Caenorhabditis elegans: one gene and its partner. The protein of the gene in region 1 purifies or fractionates together with the protein of each later gene. This does not show direct contact. Each region holds a gene or a part of one and is shown on either strand. Other genes may lie near its edges.

Evidence for each region. The genes of interacting proteins can lie anywhere in the genome.
Region 2: the proteins of kin-4 (region 1) and daf-18 purify together in Caenorhabditis elegans (affinity purification with western blotting, with the first as the bait; one study listed by BioGRID). This does not show direct contact.

What each region holds. Positions count from the first base shown.
Region 1 is NC_003282.8:11,423,861-11,428,742, reverse strand, and holds the start of kin-4 (non-specific serine/threonine protein kinase), read right to left. Parts: upstream 3,002-4,882; coding exon 2,943-3,001; intron 2,610-2,942; exon of another isoform or gene 2,589-2,609; intron 1-2,588. Other genes in the region: F22B3.8 (Tyrosine-protein kinase), read left to right, coding at 3,858-3,863, 4,046-4,191, 4,239-4,462, 4,610-4,803, 4,854-4,882.
Region 2 is NC_003282.8:419,466-426,985, reverse strand, and holds daf-18 (Phosphatidylinositol 3,4,5-trisphosphate 3-phosphatase and dual-specificity protein phosphatase daf-18), read left to right. Parts: upstream 1-1,808; 5' UTR 1,809-1,837; coding exon 1,838-2,048; intron 2,049-2,098; coding exon 2,099-2,343; intron 2,344-2,985; coding exon 2,986-3,851; intron 3,852-4,323; coding exon 4,324-4,926; intron 4,927-4,977; coding exon 4,978-5,422; intron 5,423-5,989; coding exon 5,990-6,388; intron 6,389-6,440; coding exon 6,441-6,560; 3' UTR 6,561-6,975; downstream 6,976-7,520. Other genes in the region: garr-1 (putative H/ACA ribonucleoprotein complex subunit 1-like protein), read right to left, coding at 34-435, 484-816; 3'-5' exonuclease eri-1, read left to right, coding at 7,035-7,369. UniProt on the Caenorhabditis elegans protein: Acts as a dual-specificity protein phosphatase, dephosphorylating tyrosine-, serine- and threonine-phosphorylated proteins.

The sequences.
Region 1 (4,882 bases):
AATTCAACGGAAGACGCCATTCCTCCTCATATTTGGGCGATGTCGCTTCTTTCAGCCTCTTCAACGATCTCCTCGCGCCGTGGTTCTCAGCCAAGTGTAAATATTCTCAATTTTTAGTTCATAAAAATCTAGAAAAATCAAAAAGCTAACTTGAATACTTAAATGGATGTTCTCTTTTCTCTTTCTAATCTACTTTCATCATTCAATTTGATATGACATTCCCTAATGCATAGTGATATTTGAATGAACGAGACAATTAGAAGAACACCCAATTGATTCAATTTTATACTTTAAGGGTTTGAATTTCTTTCAAGACAACAAAAGAAACAAAATTAAAAAGGAGAGAATGAGAAAGTAGGGCTTGCTGATGTAAACTTTTCTTAAAATTAAAATTGAGCATTGCACCTGCCAACTGATACGCAAGAAGAAACTTATTCGAGCTAAAAAAGGCATTCGAGCAGAAAATGCATTTTATTCATCTCTGAATATCATATTAAATTGTTAAATTGTTTGATAGCGGAAACGAATATGAATCGGAAATGAGATGATTCCATACTCTTCGAACAATTTATTCACGTTATTTTTAGAGGAGGAAGAGGAGGAAGCTTGATAGTTCAAAGGGTATTTCAAAGAGGCATTCTGTCTGGAAGCTTTGAATTTTCAAAATCAATGACTAATCGATATTTCAATTTTTTAACCTCCTTGATTTACAACAATCGTTCTATCGGTGAACCAAATTCAGTTAACACAAACCATTGATTTTAAAGTTTCAAAGATTTTTGTTTTCCTTTAGTAGAGAAAAAATCAAAGAATTCAAGTATGTTGCCATCAATTTTCAGTAAAAAAGTGGCAAACAAAATTTGAAGAGCTAGGTGCATTTCTACAACAATTTTTAAGTCCTAATTTTCAAAGTTTAAAGTCTTATTCTTTGATTTTTATTTTGAATTTCATTGATAATGTTCAAAGTATTTCCAGTGAGTCATTTTGGCAGAAAGAAGAACATTCTCCGAGCATGAAGCCATGTTGATCAGATAAATGACGCGAGTCAAGTGCAAAAGATTATTGTGTTATACTTTTTTATTTGATACTGAAAATTGTAACCTTTTCAACTGAGAGATTGGTTAAATGTACCTGTGTTTCAGAAATATTTTAAACCTATGCTCGGAGAATGCTTGACATTTTTTTCAAAATAAGTTCTGATAAAGAGCTTTCGATAAGAATTCAACAAGCATCTGCTGGCGGATGTACATAGGAGAGGGAGAAAAAAGAATACTCATAAAAATACATTTAGAATTGCACAAAAAAGTTGAGTTTGGAAAAATTTTAATTCGAAAAATACCCAAACCACAGAACAGGTACTACTTTTGTAGCGAAACTATATGACTTCCATGGCAGTAAGTCCAATATTTTTAAAGAATAAATAATTGGCATAACTTTTAGAAAACAAGAGGCATTTAGACTGCGAAAGTGTATTGCACTTCAAAATTTGAAGCAATTTATTATCTTAATTTTTCTGAAATCGGACAAGAAAAGAAGAAGTGAAAGGAGGCAAAAAAGACGAAGCTGAGCCAATCGATGGCCAAATTTTTTAGAACGACAACGACTGAAGACGACTTAAAAATATGAGCATACGGATAAACAGGGAGATTAACTGGCATCCGCCAACAGATTCACCATGCAAAGGATTAACTGTCAACTATAACATTTCTTTTATTTTCTCCTTTTTATAGAAAATATATTTATTCACTATTTCATCCAGGTTCGTCCGTTGACGTACTACAGCTATGCAACCAGATTTATTCGAATAAAAAGAATATCGTGATCTTCACAATGAAGCTCGTATTTCTATTTCAAAAACTTGACTCATTTTTAAGTAGTGATGAGATGCAATAACATTAAAATTTAGGTGCTTACGTAATAACCGGGCCAATCGGAAACAAGACGAAATCTAAAACGAACGCATTTGCAAAGTCGAGCTACTGGCTACTAGTGAAGATTTTTAATTTACATCGAGTTGAAAAATAAAGATAAAATAATAAAAATAAAGATGTTTATGATCCATGTTCTTGATTAGGATACATATTATAATACTTCGGAAATGACATACATACATAGGTATGCATACAAGAAGCAATATCGCTTCATTAACAAACTATCCTAGATCATAATTTAAAGAAAAATGTTACACTTTCAGTAATTGGACTTTGTCTCAATTTTTCTCTATTTAATGTATCCTGGCATACAAAGCGTATTATAGAAAAACCGTTTCCGAAAAATTTTAGTTTTTCAGATATTTCGAAAACAATTCGATTTTTGCAAAAATATATTAACATTTTGACCATTTTCCTTTTTTTTCAGAGAAAACATTTCATGTTTTTTCTCATCAAAATGAACAACTTTTGGTAATTTTTTAGTTTTTTTGTTAATTTTCTAAAAAAATTTTTCTTTAACTATAGAAAAAAAATAAAGAATATTGAAATAATTTTAGCGGTTTTGGAAAAAAAAAACATTATCTGCATCGAAATTCGACATAAAAAATATTTGCAAATAAAATTTTCAACTTATTCTTGATAACTTAAAAGCTTAATTACATGGACAATAATATGCAATTGATTTATAATTAAATTGAAAGTTAAAAATAAAAGAATAAAACAGTTAGAACAAATTCTACCATCATGACTTTTACAGAAACTTTGACACGAAAAAACAAAAAACCACAATAAAACGCTGTTCTCTATTATTTCCGCTTTCATCGAACGAAGAAGAAAATCATCCGACAATCGGCAATTCTATGCACGCAAAACATAAAAAGAACTGACAGAGACATGTGCAAAGAGATTTTTTTTAGGGGGAGATTTCTATTGCAATGAGAGAGATAATATCTTGTTTTATAGGTTGCATTTTTACTTTTTTCGGTTTGGTAAGATACACTCAGAACTCACTTTTCTGTTGCATTACTTGGGCTCTTCTTTTGATACATAACGACTCCAAAATTGAGCATTTGATTCTGAAACTATAGAAAAAAAAAAAGATTGGCTAGAAACAAAAATAAAAAGTTAGATTGGAGTTTTTGGAGGGAAACGTTGAGTAGGCGAAACGCCGGAGCTTATCAATCACTATGGGCAGTTGAGTGGAGAGAGATTTGTGATGTGAATAAAATTATAAATAAATTGAAAGTATTTCTGATCCTCTCACTCTCTCTTTCTTTCCTGTTCTCAACATTCACCTCTACTAATCCCCTTTTTCCAGCTCATCACAAGGTTGCTCTTCGTTTTCTGATTTTGTGTGCTCATGGATTACTGTAACATTTCTAGATTTAGATAATGGTAAAGTGTATGGTGAATGGTGACATATCCGAAAACATGAAACTTGAAAATATTAATCTAGTTAAATACTTCTGCCGTTGACATTTGAGACCAGCTATTATAATAATCTCCTTTTTTCCACTCTATAAGCAACAATTTTCAATATTTTGACATCCTGTGAATTGCAAAAAATGAATATATTTTCTAAGGGGTTCGATAGTAGACATGAATTTTTCAGACGTGCTCGCCTGCCTGCTTGCCGCTGATGAAAGGTTTGATAGGAAGATGCTAAATTATGGCAGGAGTAGGAAGTTGTTCCTAACTGTCGAGCAGTGACTTTGCACTTTGTTGTCAGGAAAATTTGGTTTAACCGTTAATCCTTCAGATGAAGTTTGATTCCTGGAAGTTTTCTGAATTTGAGTTGTATCACTGTCTGTATGTTTAAATACATAAACTCCCGTGAAAAAAATTGAAAAAAAAAACAAATACGACGAGGCAAACTTATTTATTTCCCAATATAATTTTACTCAAAATCGTCGTAAAATTTTTGCAATGAAGGTGAGTTGGAGTGCGGGAGTTCGAGCCTGCCTGTACCTGGCTACGCGTCTACCTGAAAATAAAATAAGACATCAGAAATTCTAGAATAAGTTTCCTGCAATGGGTCGCCTGTAGTATGATTATTTAAAAAAAAGACAAATTCGGTATTCCTGGTATAGTAAAATGTAATTTTCAATTTTCAGAAATCTGAGAAAAAAGAATGTAAGAGTGAAACGACCGAAAAGACTGAAAGGACAACAGATGGCAGCAGTATTTCAAACTCAGTTATGATCAATTTTCCGGACGACTCAATGTATCAAAATGTAGAAAAAACTAAAAGCGTTGGAAGGTGAGCAACTTTATCCCAAATATCCCAAAACACTTTTTAATTTCCAGAGTAACTAATGAAATGATTGACAATTATTTATTGAGATACCAATTTTTCCATGGTTTTGTGCTCCAAGAGCTACAACTGATCTTGTTGAAGACGAACGGAGACTTTCTCCTGAGATTGTCGCATCAACCAGAGAAGAATGCGAAGAAGCCGACGACTCCGGACAAAAGTGCCACTGATCCGATTCCACTGACTCGTGTCATTCTTGTTCTGTCCGTCAATATCAGTTTGTTTTATTTTTTGTTTTTTTAACTTCCTAGCAGCTTGGAAACTTATTCAATGAACTTCTCATAAGTTGTCAAGCTGTTGCGGGGAACTTGCCCTCACTGTTCGTTGAAAAACTCTAGATTTTACAATTATGTTCCCTATTCAGCACAAAAAACCGGCACCACACGAAGTTTCTATGGGGATCTGGAGGATGTGAAGAAAGAGAACATGGATATGCATTTGTTTATTGAAGAAACCGCCGGCAAATGGACCTCGTTTTATATTGAGCGGCGATTCAAGTTTCCGACTATTGATGAGCTTATCAACTACTATAAGGTCAACCCGATTTGCTATCACAATGTATGTTTGAGTGCTTTTCTAGCCATTTCCAGACGGTCTTTAATTTTCAGACACGTGTATTCTTGAAACGCCCTATCGT
Region 2 (7,520 bases), about 11 Mb from region 1:
ATTGGAACATACAGTTTTTTAGAGAAGAAACAATTATTCGAATTTAGTTCTCTTATTATTCTGTCCTCCGAAACTTCCACCATCGTATGATCGTTTGAAGTCTCCACGTCCGCGACCTCCGAAGTCTCCTCCACGGCCACCACGGAACCCTCCACGGTCTCCGCCTCGGAATCCTCCACGACCACCGCCAAAACCTCCGCGATCCCCGCCTCTGAATCCACCGCCGCCGCCTCTTCCAAAGCCTCCACGACCTCCACGGTCACTGCCACGTCCTCCACGATCCCCACCGCGTCCGCGACCACCTCTTCCACGCCCTCCGCCGGCTTGTGGAAGGAAACGATCAACTGGTAAAAGCTTTCCGGGATCAATGTACAGCTGAGACTCTGGTTCGAATGAAGAGGCTTTTACTCCTTGTGACAATGTGACGGAGAATCCCTGCAGCGAATAAATTTATGATTAATTTTCAATTAAGAGATTACTTACGTTCTCCCCGGGGGATCCAAAAATCTCGTCGATTTTTCCGACTTGTTCCTTATTCTTGAAGTAAATTGGAGCATTGAAATATGGGATTTTTCCACTCGTATTGTTGCAAACAATATCATCTTGGCACTGATGGGAGAAGACACCGACGAGCACAACTTCCTCTGGTGGTCCCTGATCGTAACCTCCACGGCCGCCCCCTCCGAATCCACCGCGTCCTCCACGGAAGCCACCACCTCTGTCACCGCCGCGACCTCCACGGAATCCACCGCCTCCACCGCCACCACGACCACCTCGAAATCCACCACCGCCTCCACGTCCACCACGGAAACTCATTTCTGAAATGTCAAACAATTTTTGAACTTTAAAGTTATTCAAGTGCAAAATAAAATCAAACTGGACATAAAAATATATTTGTTGAGAAATTCAATAGAAAAAATTGGTATTGCAAAACAAAAAGGGGTTTTCTTGTACATAATATTCACAGAAATTTCAATTTTCTAAATATGAGAAAATTAAGAAAATCACAAGAAATTGATTTTCGCCTATTTCGAAGAATTTCATCGCACTATACAAACTTTAGACTCTAAATACAACTTATAAATAACGATTATTTCGTTTTTTGCCAGTTTTTAAACAAGAAAATCAATAAAAACTATTGGAAAACGTTAAAAAATATCGAAAAAAAAATCGAAGAGAAGAGAAAAATGCAGTGAGAAGAGAGGCGTTCGTGGCGAGACCCGTGCCGTTTGAATTAGCGTGCGCCTTTAAGAGACATTTTTTGGATTTTGTTTTTTCGCCGCGAAACCGATCTTTTTCGGTGTTTATCTGCTTTTTCGACAATTTTTATTCATTTTTTCTTGATTTTTCAATACAAATAAACATTTTCCACACGTAGGTTATAAAAATATCCGAAATCTTCCTATTTCTTGGTTGAAAATGCTCATAAATCAGTAGACCAAAATTTTGCTTTTTTGATCAAATGATTTCATATGATCTTCTACTATTGGCGCTGGCGGGTATTATTTTCTAATAAATCAGTCTTGTTTTTTTTAAGTCGAAAATACGCATATTGGCGATTTTCAACGGATTTCTAGCTCTTTTTCAGCTCATTCTTAACGAGGAAATGTAGTCTGTCTTTCTGCTCCTCTCGTATCTCTCGGGTCTGAGCTCTCTGCGTGAACAAATCTGAGCTTTAGCATGAGCTAGTTAATCCCTTAATCCTTTGCGCTCATTTGGCATTCTATTCTATCACACTTCACCTGACAATGTTTAAATTATAAAATTCGCTGAAATTCTCTTCTAATTCGTTCCTCTTCATGAATTTGCAGTTTCCAGGTACATCTACTAACCCCCAATGGTTACTCCTCCTCCAGATGTGCCAAGCACATCGACCAGGTCGATGGCTCGTGACCTTCAAGAGAATCCAAACCGACAACCTGGTGAACCACGTGTGTCTGAACCGTATCACAATTCAATCGTCGAGCGGATTCGCCATATTTTTCGGACGGCTGTATCTTCCAATCGTTGTCGCACCGAGTACCAAAATATCGACCTAGATTGTGCATGTAAGGCACTTCTCTTGAGTTCAAAGCATTTCAATTTTCAAAACTTTCAGATATCACAGACCGAATCATAGCTATCGGTTATCCAGCAACAGGAATCGAAGCGAATTTCCGTAACTCAAAAGTTCAAACTCAACAATTTCTGACCAGGCGGCACGGAAAGGGCAACGTGAAGGTGTTTAACCTGCGCGGTGGATACTACTACGATGCGGATAACTTCGATGGAAATGTTATTTGCTTCGATATGACTGATCATCATCCGCCGAGTCTCGAATTAATGGCTCCGTTTTGCAGAGAGGTTATTTTTCATCACTTCTGTGGCTCTAAAATTTCCGAATGAACGTGATTGCCCTGAAATTTTAAATCATGAGGACTCTATTGAAGGAGGACTAACACAGGCCCAAAATGAGCTCAAATGAACGAATTTCGTAATAAAACTTCGCAAACTGTTATGGCGGTTCACAATTTCGAAAAAATGACACCGATTTTAGCTGAAATCTCGAATTTTGGCCACTTTTCCGTGTCGCATCTGGCCGATGTTGACTTTTTTGAATTCTCGCCCTATATTGCATATTTTGGTAGTTTATATCATGTAATTTCGTCGATTAAGATACATTTAAAACCCATATTGACCCAAAAATCATCAAAATTTGCTACCTACAGGCTTTAAATGTACCTTAGTCAACGAAATTAAATTAGATAAACTACCAAAATATGTAATAAAGGATGATAATTCAAAGTCAATTTCGGGCAGATTAGACACGGAAAAGTGAACAAAATTGGAGATTTTAGGTAAAAATCAGTTTTTTTTTTGGTTGTTTAACCGCCATAAAAAATGTGTGTCCATTGGAGCTAATTTTGGGGTCTATAAGTTCAAAATTGTCCGACCCGTTAGTCTTCCTTTAAATCATAAGAGCTTTATTAATTATCTGTTTTGCAGGCTAAGGAATGGCTTGAAGCAGACGATAAACATGTAATAGCTGTACACTGTAAAGCTGGAAAAGGCCGTACCGGAGTGATGATATGTGCTCTTCTCATCTACATCAACTTCTATCCGAGCCCACGACAAATTCTCGACTACTACTCAATAATTCGTACAAAAAACAACAAAGGTGTCACAATTCCATCACAACGACGCTACATTTACTACTACCATAAGCTTCGTGAACGTGAGCTCAACTATTTACCATTGAGAATGCAGTTGATTGGTGTCTACGTGGAACGGCCTCCAAAGACATGGGGTGGTGGTTCAAAGATAAAAGTGGAGGTTGGAAATGGCTCGACAATTTTATTTAAGCCGGATCCTCTCATAATCTCCAAATCAAATCATCAGCGAGAGCGTGCGACGTGGCTGAACAACTGTGATACGCCTAACGAATTCGACACCGGAGAGCAAAAATATCATGGATTTGTTTCCAAGAGAGCATACTGTTTTATGGTGCCAGAAGATGCTCCAGTATTTGTCGAAGGAGATGTTCGTATAGACATTCGCGAAATCGGATTTCTCAAAAAGTTTTCGGACGGGAAGATTGGTCATGTTTGGTTCAATACAATGTTCGCATGTGATGGAGGACTCAACGGTGGACATTTCGAGTACGTAGACAAAACTCAGCCGTACATCGGAGACGATACATCAATCGGACGGAAAAATGGAATGCGAAGAAATGAAACGCCGATGCGAAAAATTGATCCAGAAACTGGAAATGAATTTGAGTCTCCGTGGCAAATAGTGAATCCTCCTGGACTGGAAAAACATATTACGGAGGAACAAGCAATGGAAAATTATACCAATTATGGCATGATTCCGTAAGTTTTGAAGTTTTAATCAACTTATAGGGTGTTCTACCACAGTTTTGAAATTAAAATGTAATATTCTGTCGAAAAATCGTGGAGATAAGGCTGCTAAATCTAATCTGACTAGTGAAACAGAATAATGTCAGTGTGAACCTAACACTGTCATATGTCGATTTAGCACTTCGTTGGCTCCAATTTATTTTTCTTTTTGAATTCAAATACGTCAGTTTCAACGTGATTTAAAAAGCCATTGAAAAATAGGCCAATATTCGTCAACTTTATTTCAAAAAAAACTACAGATTCTGATTTCTTGATTATTGAATTGTTGAAAATAAAAATAATTAATCATAAACCTACTTTTTCAACAAAAATTGTAAATACCTTCCTCTGCTTAAATTTACACAAATTTATACGAAACTAGTTAATGATCGAATTTTTGAGTATTTTACGTATTTATGCGAGTACAAAATACAAACATTTTCAGTCCTCGATACACGATCAGCAAGATTCTTCACGAAAAGCATGAAAAAGGTATCGTCAAGGATGACTATAATGATCGTAAGCTGCCAATGGGAGACAAATCATACACGGAATCAGGAAAAAGTGGAGATATTCGAGGAGTCGGTGGTCCATTTGAGATACCATATAAAGCTGAGGAACATGTTCTCACATTTCCAGTTTATGAAATGGATCGAGCATTGAAGAGTAAAGATCTTAACAACGGAATGAAACTTCACGTTGTTCTTCGTTGTGTAGATACTCGTGATTCAAAAATGATGGAAAAGAGCGAAGTGTTCGGCAATCTGGCATTCCATAATGAATCGACACGGAGGCTTCAAGCGTTGACTCAAATGAATCCAAAATGGCGACCTGAACCGTGTGCGTTCGGATCCAAAGGTGCTGAAATGCATTACCCTCCGTCGGTTCGATATTCAAGCAATGATGGAAAGTATAATGGAGCCTGCAGTGAGAACCTTGTTAGCGATTTTTTCGAGCACAGAAATATTGCCGTTCTTAATCGATATTGCCGATATTTCTACAAGCAACGCAGTACATCTCGAAGCCGTTATCCAAGAAAATTCAGATAGTAATGAGTTTTTCGAGAAAAAAATAAATAAATATATTTTTCTATTTTCAGCTGTCCTCTGATCAAGAAACATTTCTACATTCCAGCTGATACCGATGATGTTGATGAAAATGGGCAACCGTTCTTCCACTCACCAGAGCATTACATTAAAGAACAGGAAAAAATAGACGCAGAGAAAGCAGCTAAAGGAATTGAAAATACTGGACCCAGTACTTCAGGATCAAGTGCTCCCGGAACTATCAAGAAAACGGAAGCTTCACAATCCGACAAGGTGAAGCCGGCAACTGAAGACGAACTTCCTCCTGCGAGGCTACCGGATAATGTGCGAAGATTTCCAGTCGTCGGCGTTGATTTCGAAAATCCGGAAGAAGAATCGTGTGAACACAAAACCGTAGAGTCAATAGCTGGTTTTGAACCACTCGAACATCTATTCCATGAATCATACCATCCAAATACGGCCGGTAACATGCTGCGTCAGGATTATCACACTGATTCGGTGAATTTGGTTTGAAATTTTAAATTTTGGAATTGAAAGTGAACTTTTTATATTATATGCGGGACCCCTCAATCTACTCACCTTCCTAGGTGTAATTTTTCTAATAATTATTCCTATTGCTATAGTTTCTAATTATATTTCTATATTATCAATATTATAATGTTTCCTCGCTGAAAACCTGCGTATTCATTCGTTGCCAGTGGTAAGTTATATTAATTTTCATTCAGATTTTTAGAGAAATATTTTGAGTATTTAGCTATCGTTATTAAAATAATGATTTTCGTATTGTTCTTAACATTCTGTTAGGTGACTATTTTCTTGTATCGTTGAAGTCCATGCTTCAAAAACAACGACTTTTTTGGCTTAAATACGCTTTCAACGTCGAAAATATTGCCTTAACATCACTTTGGGCAAATTTCTTATTTTGAATTCGATATGCTCGTTTTATTAGCTTCCAGAAAATATAACATTCGACCCATAACTCTCTGATCACCAAAAATAAGAACTCCTAGTAAGATCAAAAACTATCGGGAAATGTTGAATGTATTTTCAATATTTAACTTTCAGGAAGTGAAAATAGCTGAACAAGAGGCAAAAGCCTTCGTTGACCAGTTGCTTAATGGACAAGGTGTATTACAAGAGTTTATGAAGCAATTCAAAGTACCATCGGACAATTCCTTTGCTGATTATGTAACCGGACAGGCCGAAGTTTTTAAAGCACAGATTGCGTTACTGGAGCAGTCGGAGGATTTTCAACGAGTTCAAGCGAATGCAGAGGAAGTCGATCTTGAACACACTCTTGGTGAAGCGTTTGAGCGATTCGGGCACGTTGTAGAAGAATCGAATGGTTCTTCTAAAAATCCAAAAGCCCTGAAAACTCGAGAACAAATGGTGAAAGAAACTGGCAAAGACACTCAGAAGACCCGCAATCATGTGCTTCTACATTTGGAAGCTAATCATCGTGTGGTGAGTAATCTTTTTTATTTTTTATTATGTGATTAAAATGTTAATTTTTCAGCAAATCGAGCGTCGTGAAACGTGCCCGGAGCTACATCCAGAGGATAAAATCCCAAGAATTGCTCATTTTTCCGAAAACAGCTTCTCGGATTCGAATTTTGATCAAGCTATTTATTTGTAAACCTAAAACAAAACTTTTAGAAGATTTTCTTCTTACTGACCCTCCAATTTTCAGATAATTTCAATGTTTTAAGTTTTCTCTTCAAAGTATCATTCACTTTCTGTATAGTGTTTTGTTTTTTAACAAACTATTGTTCGATTATTTTGTATATTCATATTATAGCTCTCAACTTCCCGATTTTCCACGTATATATGTATATTTTGCCGGGTGAAAAATAGCAATTCCCTATGAATGTATCCCCTTCCATCTGTTTTCTTACTCAGAAATTGTAATTCACATTGCGGGTCATCACTAATCCTATGGGCTTTAACACAATTCTCCCATAAATTAATTGTACTTACCAATTTTTTGTTTAATTATTTAGATTTGTAACATTGAAATTGGTGATAATTCCAAAGAAAAATTATATTCTCCGATACATAGAATCTAGGCGCATTCGAATTTACATTGTTTTTCTAAAATTTCAGTTAAAAAATGAGCGCAGATGAGCCGTCTCCAGAAGACGAAAAATATCTGGAAAGTCTACGAGATTTGCTGAAAATCAGCCAAGAATTCGATGCAAGTAACGCAAAACAGAATGACGAACCAGAAAAAACAGCAGTTGAAGTGGAATCGGCTGAAACCAGAACCGACGAATCTGAAAAATCAATCGATATTCCACGTGAACAGCAACTTTTACCCTCCGAACGTGTTGAGCCTTTAAAATCAATGGTGGAACCAGAATACGTGAAAAAAGTGATAAGGCAAATGGATACAATGACTGCTGAACAGCTAAAACAAGCGTTGATGAAGATTAAAGTGTCCACAGGGTAAAATTATGCTAAATTCATTCAAACTTCTTATTTTCCTAACAGAACCCAATTTCGTACATTTAAGATATAGCTTTGCTTCATTTTTGATAGTTTTGTTAAAAAGAAACAGCATTTTTTGAATCATTTTGCGTTAAATATAGTCATCCGT